Linked DNA regions of Astyanax mexicanus. The protein of the gene in region 1 purifies or fractionates together with the protein of each later gene. This does not show direct contact. Links are inferred from orthologs where the notes say so. Each region holds a gene or a part of one and is shown on either strand. Other genes may lie near its edges.

Region 1 (7,404 bases):
GATAGCGGAAGGGTGGTGAACAATACAGGAAGGCTTTCGGGTGTGTTTGGGGTCAGAGCCAAAACAGTTCCTGGTTTAGCGTGCACTGCACAAGTCTAGTAGGGGGCTAGGGGGAGACCTTCCTGTCAGCTGACCCACTGACTTCCTGTCTGAGGCTGGGTCTGTGGGAGTGAGAGTGTTTATAGTTGTAAACGGCTGCAGCAGAGTGGAAAGTGACTTCTGTACACTGAAATAGACAAAGGCAGTGTTTTATTATTCTCACAAGGCTAATAATGGAGTATTGGCTTTTGGAGTATTTGGGTTGGATTTTGTTTGTAAATGATAAATACAAAACCCAATGCCAGACCATGTTTTACTTTCAGTGCAGGATCTCCATTCACAATGCTGTGTAGTTCAGGACAAGGTTTAGTACTTGTCTGGGAAACTGATCCTAAATTTCCAAAGATTTGTTCTACAGTCAAGGGTGTTAATATGAGATTTGACCAGTGATGTCATGAATACCTTAGTGTTACTGTAATCTGAATTTTTTTTCCAGTACCAAATAATCTAACGCATTACTATTTCCAACCCAGTAATTTACTTATCCAAGTCACTGTGCATTACTTTCTCATTTTTCTTAGTAAAAGATATTGTACTGTCCGGCTGGACGCATTGAAAGGATGGGTGAGAAATCTGTTTACAGTCATTTCTTTATTGCTGGAACTTACAGTGGTTGCTGTCGGCCGCAACCACACCAAAATAACAACAGGCTAGCAAGCTAACAAGCTAACAGGATAAAACTAGCACTCTGGCTTCAAAAACACAACGTCAAATTTGAAGAAACGCTTGGAGCTGCAGCCGCACACTTAGAACAAGTCCCAAAAGTGAAGCGAAGCTTCCATTAAAGTGAGTTTTGGCAAAACTGTTATGTTGCAGGGTGTGTGTGTGTGTGTGTGTGTGTTGAACCGGCTTAACTAATACTAACATTATGGAAACGTTAAAAAATAACGTTCTCAAAACAAAAAATTAAGAGATGTTGCAGCGACATTACCAGAATAATTAAAATTTTAAATGAAAATGTTGCAAGAACATCCAGAAAGATTGAATGTTTTAAGAAGTTCAGAAAACATTATACTAAACTAAAATTTGTTGACTGGGTACCCTGATAACAAGTCGAGCTAAAGACCAAGTTTTCAAGTGAATATTTAAAAAGCTTTTTTTCTGCTTGATAAACATAAAAATTCATATTGTTCTCATTGTACATGGCAATATCTATGAGATTAACATTAATATCTAACCAATAGCATTTATTTTACTCAAATCATTAACACACAGATGCATTATATTGGACCATTGACTGCTGGCCAAATGTGGTCTATTTGTTTTTTTATATTTTTTAATATCGCAATATACACTATATTGCCAAAAAGCATTTGTTTACTAATCCAAATAATTTAACTGAGGTTTCAATCACTCCGTTCTTAGCTGGTCAACCAGCACGACCAAGGTGGTCAATCAGCATGACCAGCTTTTGTTTGACCAGTTTCTGTTGCTGGTCATGCCGATCAATCGTATGGTCATAGTGGTCGATCAGCTTGGTCTTGCTGGTCATGCTGATTGACCAGAGTAGTTTTGTTACCATGCTTGGTCAGGTTGATAATGCTTGATAACCAGCTAAACCATCAAATTAATATAAAAATAGAATAAAATAAAAAAATACCCAATGCTAATCAAGAGCTTGGTTGGTCAACCAGTATACCCAGCTTGGTTCCCCTGAGCTGGCCAGGCTATTTTTGTAAAGGGATTCTTCTCTGGGGAAAGATTTTCTTTAAATGTAGCAACACTTCTGTAAGGATTTCATTGTAGTCAGCCACAGACACATTTATGATTAGTTTTGGATCACTTATCAATGCTGTTCCATTACTGCAATGAACTATAGCATTGCATTGCTCTGAGGCCAGAAGCTGGGGAGCATTATCCCTGTCTAGCTGATGCTTAGCATTGGGCATTGTGACTTAGGCTCATGTGCAGGTACTTCAAAGCACCCCAGTCTATTAGCAATGCTAATTTCTTACTCTTTCAGGAGTATCTGGATCATTTCATCATGTAGTGTATATGTACACCATATTGAAGTATATACATCATATTTGTGAACATTAAGACATATAGAGGACTGAATAGAATATACTAGAATAGTTTTTACATTGGTTCTTTATGCATTTCCAGCAAAATGGCTTTGAAAGGAAAGAAAAAAGAGGCAGGTCTGGATGTGTTTGAAAAAGAAGTGTAAGAGAGCTGGGTAGACGTGTAGGGGGTACAGGGGCCCCTCACTGAGGCCTCGTCTTTCACAATGCCATCAGTAATGGCTTCCAGACTCGGCCAAAATAAATTGATTTGGAAATATGACAAAACCAGGAATCCACAAGGGCCTTTTCTCATTTGGCAGTATGTGTATGTGTGCATGCATGTGTATATATAAGCCTGGCAATGTCTTCCATTTAGGTAGTAAGTCCATTCTGCACTTTTACAAAACTTTGCATAGGTGTGTGTGTGTGTGTGTGTGTTTATTGTAAACACTAGGAGAAAATTGTATTGTATTGTTCTAGATCTTGGGGTGCCCACCCTGGTCCTAGGAATCAGAGAGCTCTAGCTCTAATCTAACACACCAGGATATTCAATTTCTACAGGGTGTTGAACTCCAGCACCTGAACTGGGCACTGCTGTGCTGTTCCATGCTGTAATTGCCGCCAGATTAAATTGATTCCACACTTTCCATGTTCTGGATTACCGTTTACTTACCTCCCCAACTCCTGGTCAACAGCTCTAATGGTTCTCCAACTTCAATGTCTTCAAATCAACATTACCTTCTAATCAACAATTAACGTTCTCCATATGCCTTTACCTCTCAGTTCCTCTCAGGAAAGCTGCTTTGTCACTATCTTGACTGAGCTGAATTTAATTTAAGTGAAAATGTAAATTATTATGACTGTTTTCAGATAATTACACTATTAAAAGACATGTTTCAAAATGTGAAGTTTTGCCTTTAAACACGCTTACTCACTTGAATAGCTTTTTGGTGCTTCTCAGTAGTGACGCTGTGTGTATTTGTAAAGAAAAGGACATGAAGTCTCCATAACAGTTCTTCTTAAACTATTATTGAACTGTACAACCAATCCTAGAACAATGTTTTCACAAGTGGATAAGTGTTCTTCTGTTACATGGCTAAAGTAGTTGCAGCAGTTACAACAGTTTGTTCTCTCAGCCTAGTACTATAGATAGATGCCCACTTGGATTTACGTTATGTTTGTGTTTACACTCATTGAGTGCTGAGTAAATCCAAGACTTTGTGGAAAGAATTCCAAAAATGTGTACTGAAACAACTATATACCAGCAACAGTCTTTGGCTTTTGAAATTGTTGTTCATGACTGTCTGTTTGGTCCTTTTCTTTTTCTGTCCAGTGCACAGAGCGTCTACTTCTTCCAAAAATAGATCACAATACATGTTTCAACTGTGTGATGGCACATCCCATGTCACTCCTCATTGTAGTGCTTAACAATGGTTATGATTAGGTTGATCAGCTGAAAGATGGTTCAGTGATCTTGGGTGTTCAGCTAAGATTTGTGCCTTTATGCACTGAAGTTCCTCCTGTTTCCTTGAATGGTTGTATAATATTATGCACTGTAGATGGATGAAATATTTAAAATTCTGCTAATCCTTTGTCCTTTTTGGCCCAATAACTCAGGGATACTGCATCTCTTTTTTATGTACCAAATCATGATTACATTCACCTGGGCATTTACCATAGGCAATACAAAGTTTTTGGGTGAAACTCACCTGTGAACATTACCTGGAGCTGTTGGCCCATATCTGTATGTATGCATTGCACTGCTGCAACATGATTGGCTGGATTAAATAATTGTATTTTTGGCACAGCCATTGCTACAAATCTTAAAATGCATCAGGTTGTCTATACTTAACAAAAGAAGGGAAGATTTGTAGCTTTCATAGTTACAGCTTGGTACGATGGAAAGGCAACACGGCTACAAGAGAAGTAAACCATGAAGAGAGAAGGGAAGAAAGAGGGTAACTAATAAAAAAATAAATAAAGGAGAGCAGAATAAAGAGAATCAGGAGGAGGATAAGGAAGAAGACAAAAACAGAGAGTTGGATGCAGGGGTGTGGTGGAAGGAAGAGAAGTGGAAGGAGCTCAGATGACTTAATTAGTGTACTGTCACTCCAGCTACACTCCTCCCTCTTCCACACACACACACACACATGCGGTCATTGAATAAGTTCCCCTATGAAGTCACTTTCCCCTCCCTGCTCTCCTGAACTACAACAGCCTCCAGAGCCAACTAGTGTGTGTGAGATAAAGAGAGAGAGAGAGAGAGAGAGAGAGAAATAGAGAGAGAGTGTGGCTCCCACTCTATCACCCTTTCCTCCCTGACATTCCAGTGCAGTTGAGGGATTGAGTGCTTGGATACAGGCGCAGGAGGGAACACAGAGAAAGGGAGACAGGGAGAGAGAGACAGACTGTGAAAGAGTGAAAGAGAGAGAGAGAGAGAGAGAGAGAGAGGGAGAGGGAAAGAGTAAGAGGAATTCTCTCTGGGCTGGACTTTAGTTTGGAAACTTTAGTTTGGAACTTTTTGCTGCTCCTAAAGCATTCAGAGCTCACACTCATTCCTCTTCTTCTTTTGTCTGCTCTGCAGAAATCTCCGGCTTTGGGAGTTTGGGAATTTCGTCACTCTAAAGCCTCCAGTAGCCACAGAAGCATCATCTCTGGAAGTTTCTCCTCTTCTGTGGTCTCTGGACTTCTGCAGGACTTTAAACAGAGCTGGAAATTGCTGGTCAAGCAGGAGCAGAGCATTGTGTCATCAACACCAGGGTGAGTTGATATTGTTTGAAAGCTTTAATTTTGGGCTGAAGAAGAATTGGATGTTCTTGGATGGCTCTGGATGATAGAGTATGACATCACTGTGTGGGTTCGGTTCATGTACAGTCAGTTTTTTTTTTTTTAGCAGAGTGGTTCTTGATGCAGAAGATATAGATAAGATGACACTTTATTATTTATTGAGGGAGGAAAATAAGAAAATAATAAGTGTTCTATAAGCGCACACACAGACACATAAAAATATAAGAGAATATAAAAAAAGAATAAAATAAAAAATATAATTTTCTTATACCAGCATATCATTACTGTACAATGAAAAACAAGATTCTTATTTTTTTTAGTTTTCTACATAATTTGAACACACAAACTGTTCTTAACACTTGCAAATTTTCTGAAATAAATTACATGAAATTAACTCTTTTTACATTGACTTACATTAAAAGGTTTATCTCCATCATTAAAAGTTGCAGTTTTGAAGATACGTGTTTTTAATTGGACAAGGTGTTTAAGGTAGTTTATTAAAAGTTATAGTATTATATATATATATGTATATATGTATATATATACATATATATATATATATGTGCAGTGAGAACAGATTTGAATGAGGTACAGGTATCAACAACAATAATATACATACATAAATATAAATACAGTACAGTTTTGTGTGCGCAAGAGAGAACTTAATATGCAAATAAAGCTGATTTATTAATATAATAAATTAATATAGTAAAGTAAAAGCGTCCAGTGCAGATTATGATGATTGAATAATTGAATATCAATACATATATTAGAGCCCAGAGTTATGCAGTCAGTGCACAAACAAACCACTATTAATTCCACTAATCACCTTTCAATGAATGTTCACAAAAGAACAACATGAGATATATTAGCAATAATGGCATATAATGTACAGATTCTGCACAGATTGAAACATTTCCAAGAACTTCATATTCCATAAAATGAGTGTAGGAACCTTTATGTTTCAGGGAGTTGTGAGATGTGATGGATGTGATTAGGTGTTGTTAGAAATATGGTGTAAGATGTTAAGAGGGAATCTATAGTAGGTTTGTGTGTGTGTGTGTGTGTGTGTGTGTGTGTGTGTGTGTGTGTGTGTGCAGATAATCTGGGAATTGTGAGATGGGAGGAGAGAGAGTAAGGTGGAGCACTTCCACCAATAGCTTGTCTAATTTCTGCCACTGTGTTGAGCCATATTTAGAACTCCATGCTGTTTTTGGAGGACATACAGCAGCTTGCAGCATTTCCTTATGCTTGAGTGATGCTACTCCTGATTGTCTGTATAATGGGTGGAGCCCTTATAGCTGGATTTATGATATGCTGATTACAAATATATGTACTTATTAAATAAGGCAGTTTTGCAGTATATATGATACAAATATATACTAGAACTATACATCATATCAAAAATGGTTTGTATTTCAGCAAGATCATGTAGCATAGCAAAAAGATATTTACCCTAGATATACACTGTATATGTTATGCAGTACAGTTATATAGCATAGCAAAAATTATATATATATATATATATATATATATATATATATATATATATTACATGAAAAATATTGTGTATCACACTTATAAAAAAAAGTCATTTTATTATTATTATAATATATATACTATATTATCACATACTGTAATGAAATGCTATGTATTACAGTTATATAGCACAGCAAAAAGATATATGCCATAGGTATATAACATACCAAAAATTTTACATATTGCACTTATAGAACACGGAAAAAGTTATACTCCATAGTTAAATGCATCAAAACATAATTTATTTAATCTATATATCGAAAAAAGTAAATAATTTATGTTAAATAATAAGCCATACTAAAACTGTTATTCTAGTTTTGTAATGTAGAAAGAAGTTATATGGCATGTGCTGCGTACATCAGAAATATTATGCATCAAAGTTAAATATTCTATATGTCAGAACGTTACCAAAGTAATATACCGTACCAAAACTGTTATGTATTATAGTTGTTTAACATAGAAAAGAGTTGTACTCTAGTTATATACATCAGAATTAATATGTATGAAAGTTATATAATTTAACAACAACTTAATATACCATAGTGGTTTTCTATATCCAAAAGCCATGCATTATAGCTATTTAACATAAAAAGTTATATACTCTATTCATATACATCAGAAATGATATATATTAAAGCTATATGCCAAATCAAAAAAGCATAATACCATTTTACCAGTTTATACATCAACTGTGTTATGTATTACCATATATTTAGTAATAACATTGAATACCATATTGACAGTGTTATACAATATAAAAAAAGTTATTACAGTTATAAAATATAGAAAAATAGAACTTTCATATATTACAGATATTGATTAAAAACATTGCATACTGACAGTGCATATTGACAATGTTGTGAATTGCAGTAAATACCATTATTATGTAACATTATTATGTACCATAGTTATACACTTTTATTATTTAAAATACTAGTAATATATAATAGTTTATACCATACTGACGTACCAC
Region 2 (7,736 bases), on another chromosome or scaffold:
TGACATTTAATATATGCATCTATATTTATATACGCAGGAAATGGTTCTGTGACTATCAAAACTATTTTTGGTACTATACAGAAGCAATTCTATATATAACCCCTGGCAAGAAATATGTAATCACCACTCTTGGATCATGTTCTTATAATTGTTTCATTCCTCAGCAACAAATAAATCACAGAGACATGACACAAAACTCTCTTTTTTCAAAACCCCAACCTTCTGGAGTTTTAAGAAATAAGGAAAAAATTAATCACTTAATTCTGAGGAAAATCTTATAGAATTACGAGGAAAACCACTGCACCATTAGTACTTTGTTGCACCATCTCTGGCTTTTATAACAGCTTGAATTCTCCGAGGCATGGACTGAACTAATGACAAATAGTATTTTTCATCAATCTGTTTCTCTTTTATTGCTGCTGCCAGATCAGCTTTGCAGTTTGGTGCCTTGTCATTGACCATTTTCTTCACCAGAGATGTCCAACTGGTTTGAGATCCGAACTATTTGAAGGCCATGCCATTGACATTAGATGTCTTTCTAGAAGAAAAGTTGTCATGTCCTTTGTTATCTTGAAAAAAGTTATCATTACCATACATCCTTTCAGTTGTTTTGATAAGAATGTAGACTTTGCCATTTATTGAAAATGTAATGACTGTCATATCATCTGGGTCTTTACCTGACATGCAGACCCATATCATCAATGACATGCAACCATTTACACTCCATGATTGATTTGCTTTAGCCCACTGAAACCTTGTTCTTTTCAGTTTAGGTGTTAATGAAGCTTTACTGTATGTGATCCACATTTCTTTTAGGTCATTTCTTACAGTTCAGTCACAGATTGATTCCAGTTTTGAGACATTGAGTCCAGTGAATTTTCTGTTGTTGCTACAAGTTTTCCATCTTGAAACCTCAATGCCTTTCTTGTTCTACCTGTATGCCTCTCATTTACAACCTTCCCATTTTGTTTTAGACACATCTGGCTGGGAACAACCAACATCTTTTGCAACATTCCATGATGATTTAACTTCTCAAGGAAGTTTATAATCCTCTCCTATATTTCAACTGACATCTTTTGTTTTTTGAAGCCACGATTCATGTCACTCTGTTTTGTGCTACAGCTCTCCAAGGTTTCAGCACTCTTTTTTAACTGAAGACTAATTAGCAGATTTAATATTATGACAGCGTGTTTGATTTAGAACTGTAAATTACTGAGATGGTCCATGATATTTTCTTCAGAATTGAGTGATTCCATATTCTTTCTTCTACTTGGTCTAAAAGTAAGTACAAAACATTTTTCAGAATAACAGAATGTTATAATTTAGAAGAAGGATAGTTTTGTGAGATGTCCCTGTGATTTATTTTTATTTCTAAAAAGTTGGAAAAAAACAATTGAAATAACTTCATCCAAGAGTGGTGAATTCCATAATTTTGCATAGCGTTGTAGAATCACTGTAGAATGTTCTCTGAAATATACAAAAACATATTATATCTAGACAACGAATCAGTTAGCTATTCAAACAATGTTCATGGGTTAATTTTGAAACAATGCATCTAATGAAACAACTCTTGAAGAATAGATTTCTTTAAATAGAAAATGCTTAATCTAATATCGGTACCAAGAAAGAAATTATCCAGTCAAGTCTTGGTATGATGCAAACAAATTTTAATTTAGGAGTTTCCAGTGTTGGTATCAGAAAAGAAAAAGTACACCTTATTACACACTCTACACTTATTTACATATACAGCTCTGGAAAAAAATAAGAGACCACTTCAGTTTCTGTATCAGTTTCTCTGATTTTGCTATTTATAGGTATATGTTTGACTAAATTGAACATTGTTGTTTTATTCAATAAACTACGGACAACATTTCTCCCAAATTCCAAATAAAACTATTGTCATTTAGAGCATTTATTTGCAGAAAATGACAAATGGCTGAAATAACAAAAAAGATGCAGAGCACTCAGACCTCAAATAATGCAAAGAAAACAAGCTCATATTCATAAAGTTTTAAGAGTCATGAAATCAATATTTCAATTGATTTCAAATTCAAGCAGTTCAGTTTGGTTTGATGACTTGTGATCATCCTTATATTCCAGGTTTTTAATCTGTATACACAAAGAGCAAACACATCAGGGGGAAAAAGACTAAAAGCTGCATTTGACAGCATCAGCTCAAACATTCATACAAATAGTTGTGGAAAAAGTAAAAAAAAAAAAATATATATATATATATATATATATATATATATATATATATATATATATATATATATATATATATATTAATAACATTTACATTAGTTCTATACGGCATTTGCTGTGTAATAAATACTAAAATTACACTAAAACACATAAAGGTGGTGTCATAAGAAATGAAAAAGCCTGAGTTCTGTTCTGAAAACACAAATAAAAGATGATAAAAGTTAACCACGGTGTGGCGCTGCAGCTGAACTGAACAGTGTAGAGAGGCACGCGGACTGCAAATTATTAAGGGGAGACCCGAAGAGAAAGCGCAGTCTGACTGAAATAACTGACCCCTGTTTTGTCGCTGGTGGTAGTGATGATATTAATATCCTTACAGTCAAAATGTGTTTCAGCTTCGTTTAAAAAAAGCTCAAAAGGGTTTGGCAGCGGTGGGATTCGAACCCACGCCATCGAAATGACTGGAGCCTAAATCCAGCGCCTTAGACCACTCGGCCACGCTACCGCAGAGGAGCAGCGTTTGAACTCGGGCTTAAGAAACTAAGACCTGCAGATCATATTTTATAATCGTTAATAGTTCGTTTAAAATTAGTTAAACTTATTGGTTACAAATGTATGTGAGAATTTGGGATTTAGCGTACACTGATTTATTTATTATTTGTTATGTTTATTATTTGTAAGACACAGAGCTGAGGTAAATTCATTTACATAGGTCTTACTCACTGTTGTTGCTCGCTCGTTAAACAACCTAAGTTACCTAGAAAACTAAGCTAGTTAGCCAACCTAGCTAACGTTAACTATCTGAACTTAGCTAACGTGCTCCAGATGTTAAGTATGTCCTGTAAAGTTACAGTTTAACAGTTTTAAAAATATGTATAAATAGCAACGCTAACGGTGGTTGGTTAAATGATAATTCCCCGAAATGTCTTAAACTGTAACTTTAGTTATTCAGCTAGCTAGGTATGTTAGCTGCGCTAGCTAAGTTATCTAACTATGGCTACATGAATGGCGTTAATGGATTCTCATAGTTTTAACGTTAACTGGCTAGCAAACATTTCTCAACATTTATTTTCTGTGAAACATGCTCCAGACGTTAGCATTAGTCACGTCCTGCACAGTGTTAGTTTACTCTATGTTATTAACAAAGATAAAATTGGTTGGTTAAGTGATAATTAACCGAAACGTCTTAACCAGTAGTCAACGTGCTAGTTAGCTAGCGCTAGGCTATTTATGTTAATGTTATATTGATATAACTTACAGCTCTGAAAAAATCTAAGAGATCGCTACAGTCTCTGAATGAGTTTCTCTGATTTTGCTATTTAAAGGTATATGTTTGAGTAAAGTGTACATTGTTGTTTTGTCCTATAATCTACAGACATTTCTCCCAAATTCCAAATACAAATATAATCATTTAGAACATTTATTTGCAGAAAATGAGAAATAGCTGAAATAACAAAAAAGATGCAGAGCTTTCATACCTCAAATAATGCAAAGAAAACAAGTTCATATCAGAATTATTTAAACTGCCACACTGCCACACTCAAGTCTCCAACACTTAAAACACATTTTCTGCTTTACACACGTTTTGCAGTTAAAACAGCAGAACAATCTGGTGAAATGAATTAAGTGGGTGCTATTTTGTTCTGATTCTGATAATGCTACATATAGTTTTGTTTGCATTGCTTCATTTTGCAGGATATTTTAGGTTTGCAGTGTGGTCTGTGAATTGGGATAAATCAGCCTAAGTTACAAAAATAAGTAAAACTGTAAACCATAGTGAAGTGGCTAGGTTAGTTAGATATCCTGGTGGCTAATTGGGCCTTTAACTTGGGCTAAAGGTGCAAAACTGTAGCTTTGAAATTATGTTTTTATTTTACACTAAGAGAAAGGGGGACCTCGTGTTTACTTTTCACTTCTCCTAACACCACAAGCACCCCTGAGGTTTGGCATACGTATGTGTATTTTTGTAGATAGCTATGTGTGCTGCTTCTGTCCGCCTCTCCCTCTCTCTCTCTCTCTCTCTCTGAGTGTGTATGTGTGTGTTAGTGGGCGTGTGCGCTACGTGCACTCCGTGTACTCAAAGCATGGCGTGTACTCAAAAGCATGGCGCTGTGGACGGGCTGTACTCTAATCACGGCCTGCTTGTGTCGCTCACTGGGACCTCTGGTGGTCCACTGTTGCCAGCACCACTACTCCCCTATTAACAGTAACTATAATCCCTGCAGGAGGAAACCTGCACTAATAACACAGCGTTAATCTGAAGGCTGAGAGTGTTAGAGCTATGTATTCAGCTACAGCTCTAAACAGGAGTTTAAGCTTCGAAAAACATGCTTATGCTTATGGGGCACATCCAGACAACACTGTACTGTTTTATTATATTGGGTTTATTTATTTATTCTTTTGTAACCCTCACCAAGTCAGAGAGTGGGGGTTTGGTCCTCTAGAGGGCGCAGCAGGGTCATGGCAGGGTGACAGTGCAGTGGAGCAGGCTAATGTTACTGCCCCCACCTCCCTGAAAGTGCATTCAAAAACAGGCAGCAGGGCAGGCAGAGCTGCTGCTGCTGCGGCTGGGGGAGGAGGACACGTTGCACCTTTAAATGGGACGAGAGCTGTTTCAGGGATAGTCAGTCACACAGTGCAGCTGAAATTTCCCTTGAAACGAAGAGCTCAAATCAACAAGCGTTCACAGGATTTAACGCACCTGCACCTGGGCCTGGACAGCAGAGAAAGGAAGAGAAGAAGCTCCACCTGTGAACGACAGACATGCCTTCTTCCCGTGAATAGCCTGGTTTATACAAGCCAAAGGTAGGCGTGTAGCCATCCGCGTCCTCTTATGTTTACTTTAGATTGCAGCTCATACAATGACACATTGTGTTCTTTAGCTGGTAGCAGCTTCATTTCTGTAGCTCCACACAATCTGAACAGCTTTCCAGAACTAGCTAGGTTACACGAGTAGGGGTTTTGTATTTATTCCTGCTTGCTACTTTATGTTGATTGGCTCATTTGAGTCGAATATGTGGGGATTGGACAGCTAGTTTAACTAAGCTATTCAGATGCATATGGCAGTTAGCTAATACTGTTGCTAATATGCTAACCTTAGCTTAAAAACTCTATTTATATGTATATTTTAAAGCTGTTTATTCACATGCATGCTAGGTAAAGCCATTTAAGTTTACTATAAACAAAAATAAGCGTTTTCAATGTGTAGTTTAACCTACCTGAATAGGTGTTCATTTAGCTAAATATGTCACAGCTACGTGAACCTAGCTACCAAGACTTTCTGAGAGTTATTGTCATTCATTGTCCTGTTAGACTTGCCTAAATTTTGTGTTCATGTATGTATTTCAGCTGTCAACAATCCTGCAAGTTCCAGCCTGTCACTCACTCAATAACACCAACAACAACACCATGGCAGACGACGAGCTGATGTTCAGTATGGAGGAGGTGGGCAGCCTAAAAAGGAGTAGTGGTGAACGGGTTGTGCGTTTTGGACGCGACCCTTCAGTTGATGATGACGATGACGACTTCTATATCTGCCCCATCACTGATGACCCTGTCAGTCCTACTAAGGAAATTTGCGATTACCTCAAGAACATTGCCAACAACAGGCAGCTTTCTAACTCCCTGCCCAAAAACTCTTTCACTTACAAGGTGAGGAACATTTTATTTTGTATGTTTCATTAATGTGTTCCTCATGTCTTACGTATTTAATAGAGATGCGTTGACACATTAGGCGATCAAAACTGTTTGCCCGAAAACCGCTAAAAAACACTTCCACTGTTCTGCCAAAAAGACAGAACAATTTATACCAAACAACGAAGCTTTACTTGAATTTATTAAAAATATGTGAATGAAAACAACTTTAAATATATATATAAAAAATATTTTTTGTTAATTAAGTTGATTTTTCATTTATGAGAAGTTTTCTTGAAATATTAACCCATAAGAGCCAAGACACATTTCGGAATATTGATACCAAATCCAAAATGAATTTAATCAGATAAAAACAGTGAGCAGCTCGTTCATGTTTGTTTCTTATTGTGGGCACATGACTAAATATTTTGAGGTTAAAATTATGATGTAACATAAATGACACCACCAATTTCCTAACCATTTTTTCTAACATTTTTGTTCTTGAAATCAGGTCAGAAATAGTTCTAAGGAACGTAAAACATTGATTTAAGCATTTGAATAGTTAAATGGTTGTAACTGAGCTATAGAAGCAAGTAATGCACTTTTAAAAGGAGCTAGTTTTATATCCAGCACTAACCCAACACTCCTACATTCTATAAAAAAAAATAAGATGAGTTGCATAAATACCAGTTCACATACTGTTCTGTGATGTTAGGAACTTTACACATCTTTCAAAGGGCGTGTGACATATATATCAGCATGGGCTTTTTTGGGTTAAAAATAGCACCCCCTAGTCAGTGATGTATCTTTATTATGACACGTCCTTGTCAGTCACAACAGGTTGGGCTCTTTAATTTACATAAAATACAAAGAAGCCTTTAATGTAAGCTTTAGAACATATTACAATAATCTTAGTAGCATCTTATTGCTAATTAAAGGTGTTCCTAATGCTGCAATCCTTTCACAACATATTGTTTTTACAATACCGTTACAAATGGTCGTGCATTCTCTTGTACAATCTTTCTCCCATATATGGAGAAGGAGCCCTGTCTGAAACACATGCTTCAAGGGTAACCAGCAGCTGCTTCACTAAACCTTGTTTAAAGAACAGGAAGTCATGACACAGTGTTTTATCTCTGTGGGTAGGTTTAGACAAGCACTCAAGTCTCTCGATGCATGTCATGACACATGGTGTCCTGTCTTTTTATACATTTGGGTTTTGTTTAAGTCCTTCTTCAGCACAGTTAGGCTCTGAATACTGATGCATGCAAGCCTGGTCTTTTCAGATTCAGTTGTGGTCCATTTTAAAAAATCTAGGCATTGAAGTTATTTAGTATTTAGCAATCCTAATGTAGCTACTGTGTAGTTTACGTCTTTCTAACTCTCCACTGTGTCTACCTCCTCCTCCCCTATCTATTTAGAACAAAAATAAGGAGCCAGAGGTGCGATCGGTCAGGTTTGGTTCTTTAACTGAGAAAGGTCGGGTATGTTCAACATTCAAGTTTTTCAACGTTCAGTACTTTCTAGCCTCTCTGCACTGTTCACTTCTTTCTTTTCCCTTACTCATTAATCCATTCTTTCTCTGGCTTCCTTTGGTACGCATGCTGTTCCTTCACAATAGGAGTTCCACCCCCTTTTCTGCGTCACCTGTTCCTGCTCAGTGTTTTAGCAGCTTACCCCCCACAAGAAAACAACCATAATGAAATTAAATAAACCACTGAAAAGTAATCATGAAATCATAAATGTTGAATAATTATTATTTAGTAATAATTTAATTAATGTTTAGTGCTTAACATAGTATCATATATTTGTTTTTGGTCCAAATAATGATAAACCGATTACAGTACAGTCTGTAATGTCTTACTGAAAAATGTCTGGGCGCATGTACCAATAGATAA

Evidence for each region. Proteins that work in one complex are often made in the same cells at the same time.
Region 2: the proteins of hspa12b (region 1) and eef2k purify together in Homo sapiens (affinity purification with mass spectrometry; 3 studies listed by BioGRID and IntAct, with this or other methods). This does not show direct contact. The link is inferred for Astyanax mexicanus from reciprocal best matches to the Homo sapiens genes HSPA12B and EEF2K.

What each region holds. Positions count from the first base shown.
Region 1 is NC_064415.1:19,784,683-19,792,086, forward strand, and holds the start of hspa12b (heat shock 70 kDa protein 12B), read left to right. Parts: upstream 1-4,368; 5' UTR 4,369-4,569; intron 4,570-4,689; 5' UTR 4,690-4,865; intron 4,866-7,404.
Region 2 is NC_064422.1:23,410,972-23,418,707, forward strand, and holds the start of eef2k (eukaryotic elongation factor 2 kinase), read left to right. Parts: upstream 1-4,696; 5' UTR 4,697-5,010; intron 5,011-5,553; 5' UTR 5,554-5,613; coding exon 5,614-5,856; intron 5,857-7,259; coding exon 7,260-7,322; intron 7,323-7,736. UniProt on the Homo sapiens protein: Threonine kinase that regulates protein synthesis by controlling the rate of peptide chain elongation.